Linked DNA regions of Arabidopsis thaliana. The protein of the gene in region 2 interacts with the protein of the main gene of each other region in a pairwise test. Each region holds a gene or a part of one and is shown on either strand. Other genes may lie near its edges.

Evidence for each region.
Region 1: the proteins of AT3G53630 (region 2) and PPR2 interact in a two-hybrid assay, tested with the Arabidopsis thaliana proteins (one large-scale study listed by BioGRID).
Region 3: the proteins of AT3G53630 (region 2) and AT1G63130 interact in a two-hybrid assay, tested with the Arabidopsis thaliana proteins (one large-scale study listed by BioGRID).

What each region holds. Positions count from the first base shown.
Region 1 is NC_003074.8:1,955,901-1,960,268, reverse strand, and holds PPR2 (Tetratricopeptide repeat (TPR)-like superfamily protein), read left to right. Parts: upstream 1-1,964; 5' UTR 1,965-2,028; coding exon 2,029-2,355; intron 2,356-2,477; coding exon 2,478-3,611; 3' UTR 3,612-3,860; downstream 3,861-4,368. Other genes in the region: ATG8H (Ubiquitin-like superfamily protein), read left to right, coding at 3,995-4,037, 4,135-4,190.
Region 2 is NC_003074.8:19,882,148-19,886,481, reverse strand, and holds AT3G53630 (uncharacterized protein), read right to left. Parts: upstream 2,622-4,334; 5' UTR 2,497-2,621; coding exon 1,919-2,496; intron 1,393-1,918; coding exon 1,290-1,392; 3' UTR 921-1,289; coding exon of another isoform or gene 914-920; 3' UTR 544-913; downstream 1-543. Other genes in the region: PPa4 (pyrophosphorylase 4), read right to left, coding at 3,174-3,216, 3,344-3,425, 3,502-3,622, 3,705-3,770, 4,159-4,266.
Region 3 is NC_003070.9:23,410,619-23,415,663, reverse strand, and holds AT1G63130 (Tetratricopeptide repeat (TPR)-like superfamily protein), read right to left. Parts: upstream 3,147-5,045; 5' UTR 2,811-3,146; coding exon 918-2,810; 3' UTR 509-917; downstream 1-508. Other genes in the region: RBL2 (RHOMBOID-like 2), read left to right, coding at 4,939-5,045.

The DNA of each region.
Region 1 (4,368 bases), about 18 Mb from region 2:
GGGGGTTAAAATCATATACTCCTCCTTGCCGAACTATTAGGGGTCGGATTGGGCCTACTTGGCCCAATGCCCAAACCCAAGTCAAAAGCCCAAAATAAGTTCCAAACCAAGGAGGAGTATTAAGGCGAAGGGTAGTTTCGTCAAATCCCTCGATGAATGCCCTACACGCGTAGTGCTATAAATACGGAATAGCATGTCATGTCGAAGGGGGGAATTCCGCCTGACACGCAGACACAGAGTAGCTCGCCTTTCTCAAGTAGCTCGTCAGCGAGCCCTTCTCAAGAAGCTCGTTAGCTCGCTCCTCTTCGACAAGCTTATCAACTCGTTCTCTTCACCAAGTCCCTCAGCTCGTCTTCAAGCTCTCCAACTCGTCTTTAAGCTCTTCAAACTCTTCAGATCGCCATTAAGCTCAACAAGCTGCTAAGCTCGTCTTCAAGCTCCTCAACTCGTCTTCAAGCTTCTCAGCTCGTCTTCATGCTCCACTCAACGACCATCTCCTCGTCTAGCTGTCATCTATACAGCTCGTCCAACTCCTCGTCTAGCTATCAGCTCATCCCTCGAAAACAAAACTCATCTACCTCCTCGCCTAGCGGCAGTTCGTCCATTGACTGCATAGTCCACCTATCTCGTCGTCCAGCTCGTCTAGACCTTCAGCAAACAACTCGGTTTATCCAACTCGTCTCTCTACCACGGTTCATCCAGCTTGTCGCACATCTGCCGGCTCGTCAACTACCTGCCGACCTACCTCCAATGACGGCCTAGCTCACTTATTCTAATATGAACTACGTGTGGCTTGACCCCTTTCTAATATGGACTACGTGTCGTCTCGCTTGACTATCACCGAGACAGCACATTGTCAGCTCGCCCGTCTCACGAAGATCGTCCGTCTCAAATAGCTCGTCAGCTCGTCCTTCTCAAGTAGCTCGTCAGCGAGCCCTTCTCAAGAAGCTCGTTAGCTCGCTCCTCTTCGTCAAGCTTATCAACTCGTTCTCTTCACCAAGTCCCCCAGCTCGTCTTCAAGCTCTCCAACTCGTCTTCAAGCTCTTCAGCTCGCCTTAAGCTCTTCAGCTCGCCTTTAAGCTCTTCAAACTCTTTAGCTCGCCCTTCTTACAAAAACAAAAAAGGATATCAATTATGTAGATCAAAACAAAAACAAAAAAGGACTTACAAGGACGTAGATATCAATTATGTAGATCAAAGAATAAGCAGTCCAAATTCCAGCGTTGATGAAACGAACTAACGATAGCCAAAACGGCATGTACTTGAAGGTCTTAGTCTCCGGCGGCATTTTGTCCTAATTGTTTCACGCATTAAAAACTTATCAAAACCAGTTTAATAGTTTACTTATCTATATATTCATCAATAAGTGAGAGCCAGAGAGAGAGAGAGAGCTTACTATGGTAAATAAAAGATAGATGATAACAATGTTGTAAACGTTGCAAACAACACCAATGAATGTATGCTTGCCGGCCGGATAAACTCCCAAATCCCCAGATAGTCATACAATAGACTGTTGCCACAAAACTAAACTCCAACGGAAGCAATAGATAAAAGAGTAATATCTGCACATCAACATCGACATCATCAAAATCAATATACAATATTTTTCTGGATTTGTTTTTTTTTTCTTTGGGATATTTCTATAGAATTTAGTCAAGATTGTGTTTGTTTGTTACCACCTTTTGTGCACCAGTCACCAATCCTTATTTTTATTATTAAATCTATTTTTGATACTATAATTCGTGATTTTCCTTTTAGTTTTATATATATATATACTTACAGAGATGCGAGCTTCATATTATTATTTTTATCTTTTTGAACACCAAAAAAATAGCCTCGTATTATTTTTAAATGATCAATTATGTGATCATATTTAAAAATACGATCCGGTTTTTAAGGGATTTGAACGGATCAAATGTGTTTCCGGTTCGGTTATATAAACCGGTATTTTACCATATCCAACCGAAATGAGTATCGACGGGAATTATCCGTAAACAGAGTGACAGTGAGGTGTGAAGGAAGAAGACGATGGCGTCAATGTCTCTCTCCTTTTCTTCTTCGCTATGTTCATCCAGAATCCCCGAAGGTAAGCGTAGGTTTCGTCACAGAGATGTGGGCATCGTTAGATGCGTTTTGGCTGCTTCGAAATCTTCTCCGGGAAGTGTTACGAAGAAGAGGCTTTGGAAAGACGGCGAATTCCCCGGAATCACGGAGCCGGTTAATCAGAGAAGAACTCCGATAAAGAATGTGAAGAAGAAACTTGACAGGAGAAGCAAAGCTAACGGATGGGTTAACACCGTCACTGAAACTTTGTCCGATCTCATCGCCAAAAAGCAGTGGTTACAAGCTCTCGAGGTATTTCGATTTTCTCTCTTCTCGTTCATGTTTGATTGAATTTGAACTCAATTTTGAATCACGAGTATAATTTAGCTGAAAGATGATTTTGATTGAATTGGGTATTTTGTTGATGATCTTAGGTTTTTGATATGTTGAGGGAACAAACATTTTATCAACCAAAGGAAGGAACTTACATGAAGCTGCTTGTTCTTCTCGGTAAATCTGGTCAACCCAATCGTGCACAGAAGCTGTTCGACGAAATGCTTGAAGAAGGACTTGAACCAACTGTTGAACTCTACACTGCTCTTCTCGCTGCTTACACTCGCAGCAATCTCATCGACGATGCTTTTTCAATTCTTGATAAAATGAAAAGCTTTCCTCAATGCCAACCTGATGTTTTCACGTACAGCACTCTGCTCAAGGCTTGTGTGGATGCTTCTCAGTTTGACTTGGTGGATTCGTTATACAAGGAAATGGACGAGCGTTTGATAACTCCAAACACTGTGACCCAGAACATAGTTTTAAGTGGGTACGGTAGGGTCGGAAGGTTTGATCAGATGGAGAAAGTTTTGTCTGATATGTTGGTGAGTACTGCTTGCAAACCCGATGTGTGGACTATGAATATCATCCTTAGTGTGTTTGGAAACATGGGTAAGATAGACATGATGGAGAGCTGGTACGAAAAGTTCAGGAACTTTGGGATTGAGCCAGAGACTCGGACTTTCAATATTTTGATTGGTTCTTATGGGAAGAAGAGAATGTATGATAAGATGTCGTCTGTCATGGAATACATGCGAAAGCTAGAGTTTCCGTGGACAACATCAACCTACAACAATATCATCGAGGCGTTTGCGGATGTTGGTGATGCAAAGAACATGGAGTTGACATTTGATCAGATGCGTAGCGAAGGTATGAAAGCAGACACAAAGACCTTTTGCTGTCTCATAAACGGATATGCCAATGCCGGTCTTTTCCACAAGGTGATAAGTAGTGTTCAGTTGGCTGCTAAGTTTGAGATACCCGAGAATACTGCCTTTTACAACGCGGTGATATCAGCGTGTGCTAAAGCAGATGATCTGATAGAGATGGAAAGAGTGTACATAAGAATGAAGGAGAGACAATGCGTATGCGATTCAAGAACGTTTGAGATCATGGTCGAGGCGTATGAAAAAGAAGGTATGAATGATAAGATCTATTACTTGGAACAAGAGAGGCAAAAGCTTATGGATCGCACTGTTGCTACAAAAGAGATGGAGAATCTTCCGGCAGGATGATTGCGGTTTGTGTGTGAATCTCTCTCTCTCTCTCTCTGCAAGGAGAGATCGATGTCTCACTTGAAAGAGTAGAATAAAAGAGTTTGTAATACACTTGATTGTTCTTGCAGCTATGCGTGTTATATATTTTGATGGGCCCAAAATTATGAATAGAGGCCCATAGATAAACTGTGACGTGCACAAGAAATCGGACAAGTCCAAAAAGTGGATAAGTGCGTGTCGTCTTTCTATAAATAATCTCTTTTCTCTCATCTTTTACCGTTTCTTCTCGAACAATCAAAAACGAACTAACCAAACATAAAATTGAACACATCCTCTTCCTCTGCTCTCTGCAAACAAAAAAACACCGATTCGGTCAGGAATCATTCGTCGTGAAATCTGTAATGGGGATTGTTGTCAAGTCTTTCAAGGATCAATTCTCCTCTGGTTTGTTCTTCGTTAATCTCTTTCTGATTCTTTGGAATTTTTTTTCCTTCGAAATGTGCTTCTGAAGCAAAGTTTTCATCTTTGTTTGAGGATATAGATGAGAGATTGAAGGAGTCGAACAACATCATTGCGAAATATCCAGATAGAATACCTGTAAGTTATTTCATAAATTTCATGTTTGATTTGTTTCTTGGTGTTTCCGTCTTAGTTGCCGTGCGATTGTGGATTTCCTTAGGGTTCGAATGATTTACTCAATTAAAAAAAAGTCTTCGTTTGACTTGCATCTCTCGAATTTGCTAGAATCTCTGTTTCAATCTTAGAATTTCTTCGC
Region 2 (4,334 bases):
TTTTTGTAGAACTTTTGCATATCAAAACGATTTTTAAAGAATTTTAGAAAGTGGTACGTATTAGAAGTGTTCACACACATATATTTATAACATTAAGCATTATATTATTAAAAAGTTATAATTAAGCATATAAATTTAATACATAGATTATAAATAGAGTAAATTTGGAAAAATACCTTTTTCTTCATTTTTACGTTTAAATATGTAAAATCAAACTTAATAAGATTAATAATATCTACGTTACAAATATCAAATCAATTTATTTGTAATAATTAAAGATTTAATTTTTACAAAGTCTTAATATAACTAAAAATTCCAAAAAATTATTATCTTAAATATTATTTTAAAACAATAATGAATAACAACATTCTACCATGGGTATTGGGTACGTGTGCAACACATGTGCTTCCCAGTTCTTACCGTACATTTAGTTTGGTAGTTTGTACGACTTTCCTCATTATATTACACAACGTGATTTTAAATCCGATATAATACATACTATTCACCAATAAAAAAAAAAGGTGAAATCTTCATTGGAAGTACTCGAGATTTGAAAACGATTCAATTAAATTTCGTTATCGAAAGCAGAATTGTAAAATGAGCAAAACATATGATTCTGATTTAAGAACACAAAATAAACAAACATGGGGAAACTTGAAAGCTTCCGAGTTCGATGACCATGCATTGTAATCTTTTCTCTCTTCATTAACATGTATTGTAAATTTGGTTCAGAAACAACTTCAGATGAATTTCTTAAAGAAAACAGATTCACCCATGGATTTCCCGGTTTAAATAAAACGGAATAGAACCCGTAGACCCACCAGCACCTTATGTTTTGTTGTCGCGAGTTGTTCACACATCTGAAATCTTCCCGAACAATGTGACCTCTCCCTACCAAGACGCTCTTAGGAACTTAGACCCTGCCAGTTCACGATGAACCACGTAAGTTCAGTGATCGATTCTAAACATTTTGAGTATGTAACCGCAAGATAATCAAGTTAAAGTTGGAATCTAAAGTGAAACAAGAGAATAATCTAATAGATACTTGGAAGAGGATGGATATCCGAACAGAATATGAAAAGGCAAGAGTAAGATCAAGCATTACTAATACTATTGAGTAGATTATCACACCACAAGCTTAAAATTCATCGTCTTAGAACTCTCATTAAGTAATGTAAATGGATATCGGAAGATCTAGATGTGGTCATCATATGAACATTTAAACAACATTCTATATCAATATTTGTGGACACCGTAAAAATGAATATTCTTGGCATGAAAATCCCTGACTAATATAGTGAACTGTATATGAAAGCAATTGATTTGGAGATCGACGAAGTCTCACTAGTCACATTGTGAACTAAATCGAGTGTCCAAAACAGCATTGAAGGCCTAGAGCAAGGTAAAAAAGTTAACAAAAAGCATTGTAAGAACATGCAGTTTTATCATACATATATGGGAAACAACTATCTAATATGAATTGAGGAGAATTAATCGATCGTATTTAACGACCATGTGTTATTTCGAGACAGAAATGCAATGACCACAATCCACAACCACACATTGGCCTAACCTGTAACTTCATTCAGGAAACAGCAAGTGCTGAATTCACTACTGGCAATGATCAAAAACTATCATTTTCCAAACTCTTTTCATCAACTTATTGTCTTGCAACGAAAAAGAAACTGTAAAAGCAAACTAAAGGCTTCACCATGAGCGAATCAAATTTCAAAACAGAATTCGCTAACAGCAAAAATCATCCAAAACATATGAGCCATTGTTATATTTCTCACTGAATACATACTCTAATACATGACCTAAAACTTTGATTAGCCAACCCTAGATCAATGAACAACTAAATCATCCCGAAAGCAACACAGAATGATAGAAAGTTTAAAAGGAGTTGTAAGAAACAAACCTTGAGGAACCGATGTTGATGTTGTTCCTATGAAGAATCCTACCAGGAGCAGCGTCACCACCATCGATCAACTCTCTAAGCCCCAAATTCTCCACCTCCTCTTCTTTCATCTCCTTCTTCTTCTCCTTCTCCACACGGCGGTTATTAGGAAGCTTCACAGGCAACCTCTCGAAGTAATTCCCGTAGATATACTCAGGCGTGTACCCATTCTCTTCATCAAACAACATGATATGACCATGCCACTCCCAAACACGATAATCCGATTCCTCATCCTCATGAAACCCAACGCAGATGTGGTGTTCGTTGACTGTCACGGCTTGACCTGAATTCGGCTTGAGAGAATCGCTTCGACCAGAGACGATGACTCGGATTAGCTCTTTCTCAAGCCTAGCTTCTTCTCTGTCGAGACTGGTCTGACCTTCTCCGTCATCATCGCCGTCGCTGTCGTCGGATTTGAAGAGGAGGTCGTCTAGGGATTGAGAGAGGAAATGAGAGTTAGGGGGACGAATTTGGAGACGTCCAAGTAGGGTTTGGATTAGGAGGTTGTCGATGTTGCTGTTTCCATTGAAGGAGCTCATCGTTGATCACAAATCGAATCGATCTTCTTCTTCCTCCTCCGATTTTCGTCCTTCTTCTACCCTAAGAGGAGAAGAAGATGCTCTCTCGGGTTTTAGGGATAGGAAAGGGTTTTTGGTTTTGCGATGACGGTTCATTGAGGTAAACGTGGTAAATTTCAGAAAAGGTAAGGGCTAAAATGGTAATATTCATTTAGATAGCATCTGATCACAGATTTGTAAATTGAACTATGGAATTTAGTTGGTTTTAACAAAATTTAAGCAACTTGGGATGGAATCTGAAAGAAAAAAAAAGAGTATACTAAAAGAGAGAAAATTAACACGTATAACATATTGTGAATAAATGACATACTATAAGGTTTTAGGGAGGAATCTTCATCTATTCTTTGATGTATAAAAGATCTAATAGAAGAATAAAACTCAAAAACAAATTGATTAAGATGAGAAATGACACCAAAATTTAAAAAGTGATGACCACAAATGAGAAAAATCCCTGTTTTAGTCTTTGATTATCGGTTTCATACGACAAAAAAAAAAAAGAATTATCGGCATCATCTACCGGATTCATCAGAGGACATACACAACAAATATATCCTTTGAGAAGCCTGACATTTATATGTATATTTATATTTGTGAATAATGCAGTTGTGAGCTTTCATTCCATTGCTTGAGGTGGTGATTCAACGTCTTAGGTTCTCCACGACGTAGTCTGCATAGAGATCCCTACATGACACAAAAGAGTTGTCCCAATTTGATTAGTTAGTTATTCTTTGATATAAACAAATTGCGGCTATTTACAAGGTCATAATATATGAAGTAAATAACAGTAAGTTTCATGAAGGCTACTTACATGGAATGCTGAACTGCGTCGTAGGCTGCAGTTGCCGGAAGGAAGTCGTTAACGGCTACTTCCTTGTTCTCGTTTTTCTTATCTGCAACAAGATTACAAGAGTATGAGCCTCATATCATCCTTAACCAACCAAAAGTTTGTAAGAAAAGAACACTCACAGTCTTCAAAGAAACGGCGGATCTCAGCCATACGATGAGGCGGAAGCTCACTGATGTCGTTGTAATGGCGATACTCTGGATCGTCAGCGCAGACAGCAATGATCTTGTCGTCTTTCTCACCCTATTCAAGCAGAAAGAGCTTCTAGTTTCAATCTCTGTTACTTTTATAAGTACTAATATGACAAGTACGTTGAATATCTAACCTGATCAATCATTGGCATCAGACCAATAGCTTTGGCCCGAAGAAAGCATCCTGGGATCACCGGTTCCTGTAGAAAATATTCAACAAGATTCACATGAGATGTGTTTTCTACCAGTCAAATAAGACAGACTGAGATGCTGATGATGCTTATAGACTTGATTGATTAATAAGAGGTTTTAAATTCCAGAGTAAACACTAGAAAATCCACACTCTAAACAATATGCTGAGACACCTTTATAAGCCTAGCAGCCACTAACTGCTCGATAACTGACTGGCAACATTTCTCATCTGCTACATTCATTCCTAAGCTACACAGTTATAAAGTAGAGTCTATAGCTAAGAGTTGAGCGCTTGAACTTCTTCAAAGCTTATCAGATGCACAAATCAAAATAGAACAAGAAACATTATGTAATGAATTATGCAGGTTCTCAAAATTGTATGAAAAAATATGTTACCTGCATAATGACAAGAACATCAATAGGGTCACTGTCCTCACAAAGGGTACGCGGAATGAACCCATAGTTGTGTGGGTATACGACAGATGAGTAAAGAATACGGTCGACCTGAGAATATGTGTAAAGTTTAGACAATCGTACCTCTAATAATGAAAGGGACAGCGAAGAAAGTTAAT
Region 3 (5,045 bases), on a different chromosome or scaffold from region 2:
AGAGTCGCTCATCTTTGGTTCCATCGGCCTAATCATGTAGTATCTATATATAAAATGTCCTTTTATATTTTCAATGCATCATTTTTAATAAAACAAAACCATTTATCTATAATCTTTCAGCTTATTTAATAGGAGAAAAAAAAAATCATAAATGTACTTAAAGGTATAAGATAAACTTAAAACACTTTTAAATGTGTGTGAAAAAATCTGAAACAAGGCTTTTATGAAATGAAGATAGTATTTGTTATTGATTAAACTTTTCCATGAATGAAATATATATGAGTTTACTTTCATGAAGATGGCATCTGCTTTTGGAATTGTTGTGAACATATCCTCTGAAACATGCTTCACTCCTATATATAACCGATTTTTAGTAGATTTGATTGTTCTTGACAGCTCAAAGCATCCTAACTTTCGTCTAATACCAATGCTTTTCTTCAGGAAACTGGATTTGCGCATATGAGATCTGTGTTTGACAGTGTGTTCCTCCAGCAAATTTAGACAGAAAAGAGCTGGTCAAACCGGTTTAAAATATTACCACCAAAATAAAATCCACGTTACAAATGTCACTGGGAATAAGAATCCAAATCAAGTTATTTTTTTGAACCAAAAGGAACTAGAAACTGCTAGCAATCATTCAAAACAAGAATTATAAAATACGTTTGGTTAAAAACCAAATCTACTACAGTAAAACCATAATAATGACACGTCTGAGATCTTGTTCTGATGCTCACAAATTGATCTCGTGTGTGTTAACCTAACAATGAATTACACAAAGCAAAGTATCAGTCATCTTCATGAAGCTTACACACACGACAGCAACCAAATACACACATGTAGCTTGAGAAGTAAACAGAGTAAGGCAACATAAAGACTTGATTCACCTCACGATCCTCTTCTCTCGAGGATAAACTGTTTTAAGAAAGCATCTTGAGAAAGCTTTTGTCCAATCTCCCATCATGCAACATATTAGTGACCAAGCCAATGGTTGAAGCATCTCCAACAAACCTGCAACTCCTCATTTCTCTGATGAGTTCAGCTGATGCTGCTTTGTCACCATCTCTCAGATGTGCCCTGATAAGCGTATTATATGTACCACTATCTGGAAGAGGCCCTTCTTCTTTCATTTCTCTAAACAAGGCATCTGCTTCTTCCTTTAAACCTTTCCTACAAAATCCTGACATCATTGTTGTGTAGGTTACAACATTAGGCTTCACTCCTTTAAGGCTGAGGCTACAAAATAGATCCCACCCATCTTCCACCTTCCCTGCCTTGCACATCCCTTCAATCATAATATTATATGTGTAAATATCAGGTTCCATTTTACTCCTTTGCAGATACTCAAACACCACCAATGCTGTCTCTACCTTCCCATTATTACAAAGCCCATCTAATAAAATGCTGTATGTCATAATATCGGGAAGCACACCATCAGAAACCATCTGTTTGAAAACTATTTGGGCATTATCACACTCTCTAGCTTGAAAAAATCCATGGATAAGAGTGGTGTAAGTGACTGTGTTGCCAACCAATCCTCTTTGAGACATCTCGCGGAAGAGTTCCATACCTTCGTCTACTCTCTTAGCCTTACAAAATCCCTTTATAAGAGTATTGTAAGTCACTACGTTTGGGAAACAGTCCTTGCTAATCATCAACTCAAACATGTGCTTGGCCTCGTCTAAACGATCGTGCATACAAAACCCATTGATCAGTGAACTATAAGTGAAAATATCAGGATCTATAGACCTTTTGATCATCTCGTCGTACAATTTCTCAGCCTCTACAAGCTTCCCCTCCTTCACAAATGCATCAATCAATGCGCTGAAAGTGACTACATTTGGATTGATTTTCCTCTCAATCATATCACTGAGTAGTCGAGAAGCATCACTCCATCTTCCGTAATTACAAAGGCATCTTATGAGGGAGTTGTAGGTAACAACATTTGGTCTAATTCCTTTGTTATCCATTTCAGTGAACAGATTGAGTGCATCATTCACGTTTTTGTAGTTGCAAAGAGCATCAATGATAGTGTTGTAGATCACAACACCAGGCTCTATTTTCCCTTGTTCCATCTTCTTTAACAAACTCAAAGCCAAATCAATATCACCTCTCTTACATAATCCATTTACTACAATACCATAAGTAACCAGATCTGGTTGACAACCTTTCACAACCATCCGGTCAACTAAAGCCACTGCTTCTGAAGCTCTGTTGTGGCGAAAAAGTCCATGAATTAGAGTGTTGAATGTGAATGAATCGGGCTGATATCCCATTTCCACCATCTGACCAACAAGAGATACGGCATCTGAAATCCTATTCCCGTGACAGAAACCATTGAGCAGAGAGTTAAGCGTGACAATATCGGGCTCATAGCCGAGTTTCATCATCTTGGCAAGAACAGCTAAAGCAAGAGAGAGCTGAGAGCGTCGGCAGAAACAGTTGATGAGAATACTGTATGTGTAAAGATTATGTGAAATTCCCAAATTTTGCATCTGCTCGCCGAGAGAGATGACAAGATCGAACTTGTTCATCTTAGCAATGGCACTCAACAGTTTACTGAACTCAACAATCGAAGGGAAAGGACGAGACTTGACCATGTCACCGAACAGATTAACCGCATCATCTAGCTTCAAATCATTTAGCCTATTTATCGATATTTTTCTGTAATCATATCTAACACCAGAGAAATCTCGTACCCAGAAACTGCAATGGCTAAAGGAAGGAGGAGCAGTTCCACATTTACCTTTTCCGAGAAGACTCCGATGAACAAATCTGTTTCCCGTCGATGAAATCGCAAACAATCTCCTCATCTTCAGCTGATTGGGGTTTCTTCCAAAATCACTGATTCAGAATCGTAAACTCTCTGTAAACTTGTATAAACCCTAAATGATGAACCTTTTGCAGACAGAGAGAGTAAAGGTTTGAACTTTTGGTTCTACCAAACCAAACAGAGAGAGAGACTCACATAGGCTGAGAGAGTGAGAGTGATATTCATCCAGTTTCGCACCACCGTTGGATCATTTGACCGGTCAAGATTTCATCTTATCATTTTTATCACCGGTTTGGTTTATAATCACATAATGTATTTTTTTTTGGTTTAGTTCTAAATTGAAAGGCCAGCATTAGCAAATAAATATGAAAAAAACAAAGAAGATTATCAAGTTTTGCTATTTTGGTTCCATATTTGTCTAACTATATTTCCTTCATTTTTTTTTTTATTGCTGAGATGTCCCTTTCTAATTAAGGTGAAACCGCGTGGACCTTACCAATTTATATCTTGGATTGTAAAGATCTATATCTGTTTGGTTCCACTTGTATATGATACAATGATACAATACAAGTTTGGTCATTATCATTTTTTCTAATCATATGTCAACAAAACCAAAGTATGCATTCATTTTGCAAAATATACACATCTATTTGTATCACCTCCCAAACATTTCTCCCATTATACGGACTTGGACAAGTATTCATACCTCTGCAAAAGTCTTATTGATAAATGAATGTGAAAGTACATACAATTGGTTTAGAACATTAAACACGAGTTTGGTTTGGACACATGGCTTTCATATACTCCTTAGTGATAAATTATGGTTAATTATAACCATCTTTGAAGTTTATTCTAATATTTTATTTATTAATTTCATTGATATGGTTTCAAACGTCAAGGAATATTAAACCTTTTACGAAAAAATTTCGGGTGGATCATATAATATCTTCCCTTCAATCCTCAAAGTTCTCGAACTCTACCAATACCTACAAGGCTACAAAAATTTATACACCATTGAAATATGCTGCAACGAAGTCCATTTAAGGCCTGATGATAAATTCCTTGGAGATCGACAATAATATCCAAGCGATTGTTAGTGAGATTATAGAGTTAGTCTTTGTTGGATTCAATAGTTTGTTCCACAATGTAAAAGTCGACTATTCTAAAGAAGCCCTTGGCAACTTATTAAATCTTATAAATAGTTAAATATCGAGACCGTAGAACCTTTTGCTATATATAGTTTTTCGTCAGAAAAAAAAAGTCTTCATGCTAGAGAAAAAAAAGTTTAACTTATAAATACCATGCTATAATTAAAACAAAATAACACGTACTACAAATAGTACTAGCTTATATTTTCTCTCTTTTTTAATAATTAATTTTCTAAAAAAATACATATCTTAAGAAAATATTATTAAAATTAATTATGAATATATTATTTTTTGTGTTTTATATTTTTTTATAATTAAAAATCAATAATATTTAATTATTTATCTTGAAATTTGATATTCATCAATAATATCTAATTAATATTGCAAAAAAATCTAGAAATCCATCTTTTAAAAACACTTTTTTGTATAAAAAAAAATAAAAAAATAAAACCCTTTTTGTAAAAAATTCAATTAAGAAAAAATAAAAGGAGTATATGTTTTATCTTCTCTTTTTACTTTAACAAAATACCTTGTTTTTTTGTTGTTTTCAAGTTATATATTTTGTAATCTTGTCGCAGGTCTGAGTTGTTTTTTGCACTCAGAAAAGAAACTTGTACTAAAACCTAGGAGAGGAGGAGCTGGCACCACCGCCTAACTCGCCATTGACACAACACCAAAAACTCTTCTTTACTTTTTGTTATTCTACACACATCGATAAAGATTAAGAACATAATTAATAGAATTCCATAAATAATTAGATGCACTAACTTTTCAACATCAATTCAACGGTTTAAATTCGTGAAAAAGCGTTTTTATTTTATTTTAATGGTTACAACTTTGTAGTTTTTACCCTAAATCTCTCTCTGATTACTGATACTCTGTCTCAATCTCTTCTTTCTTCTAATCCTTTATTTCTTGTAAGCTACTTCTCCTGAATTTCGTATTTGATCCGTTTAATCCAAGTTTCGATTTTATATAACAACCACATAGACAGAGAGAGAGAGAGAGAGAAACAGAGTAATGGCGAACAGAGATGTGGAGAGAGTAGGGAAGAAAAACAGAGGAGCTAATAACAATTATTTCTACGAGGAGTCTTCTGGTGAAACTCATTGGACTTCATGGCTGAT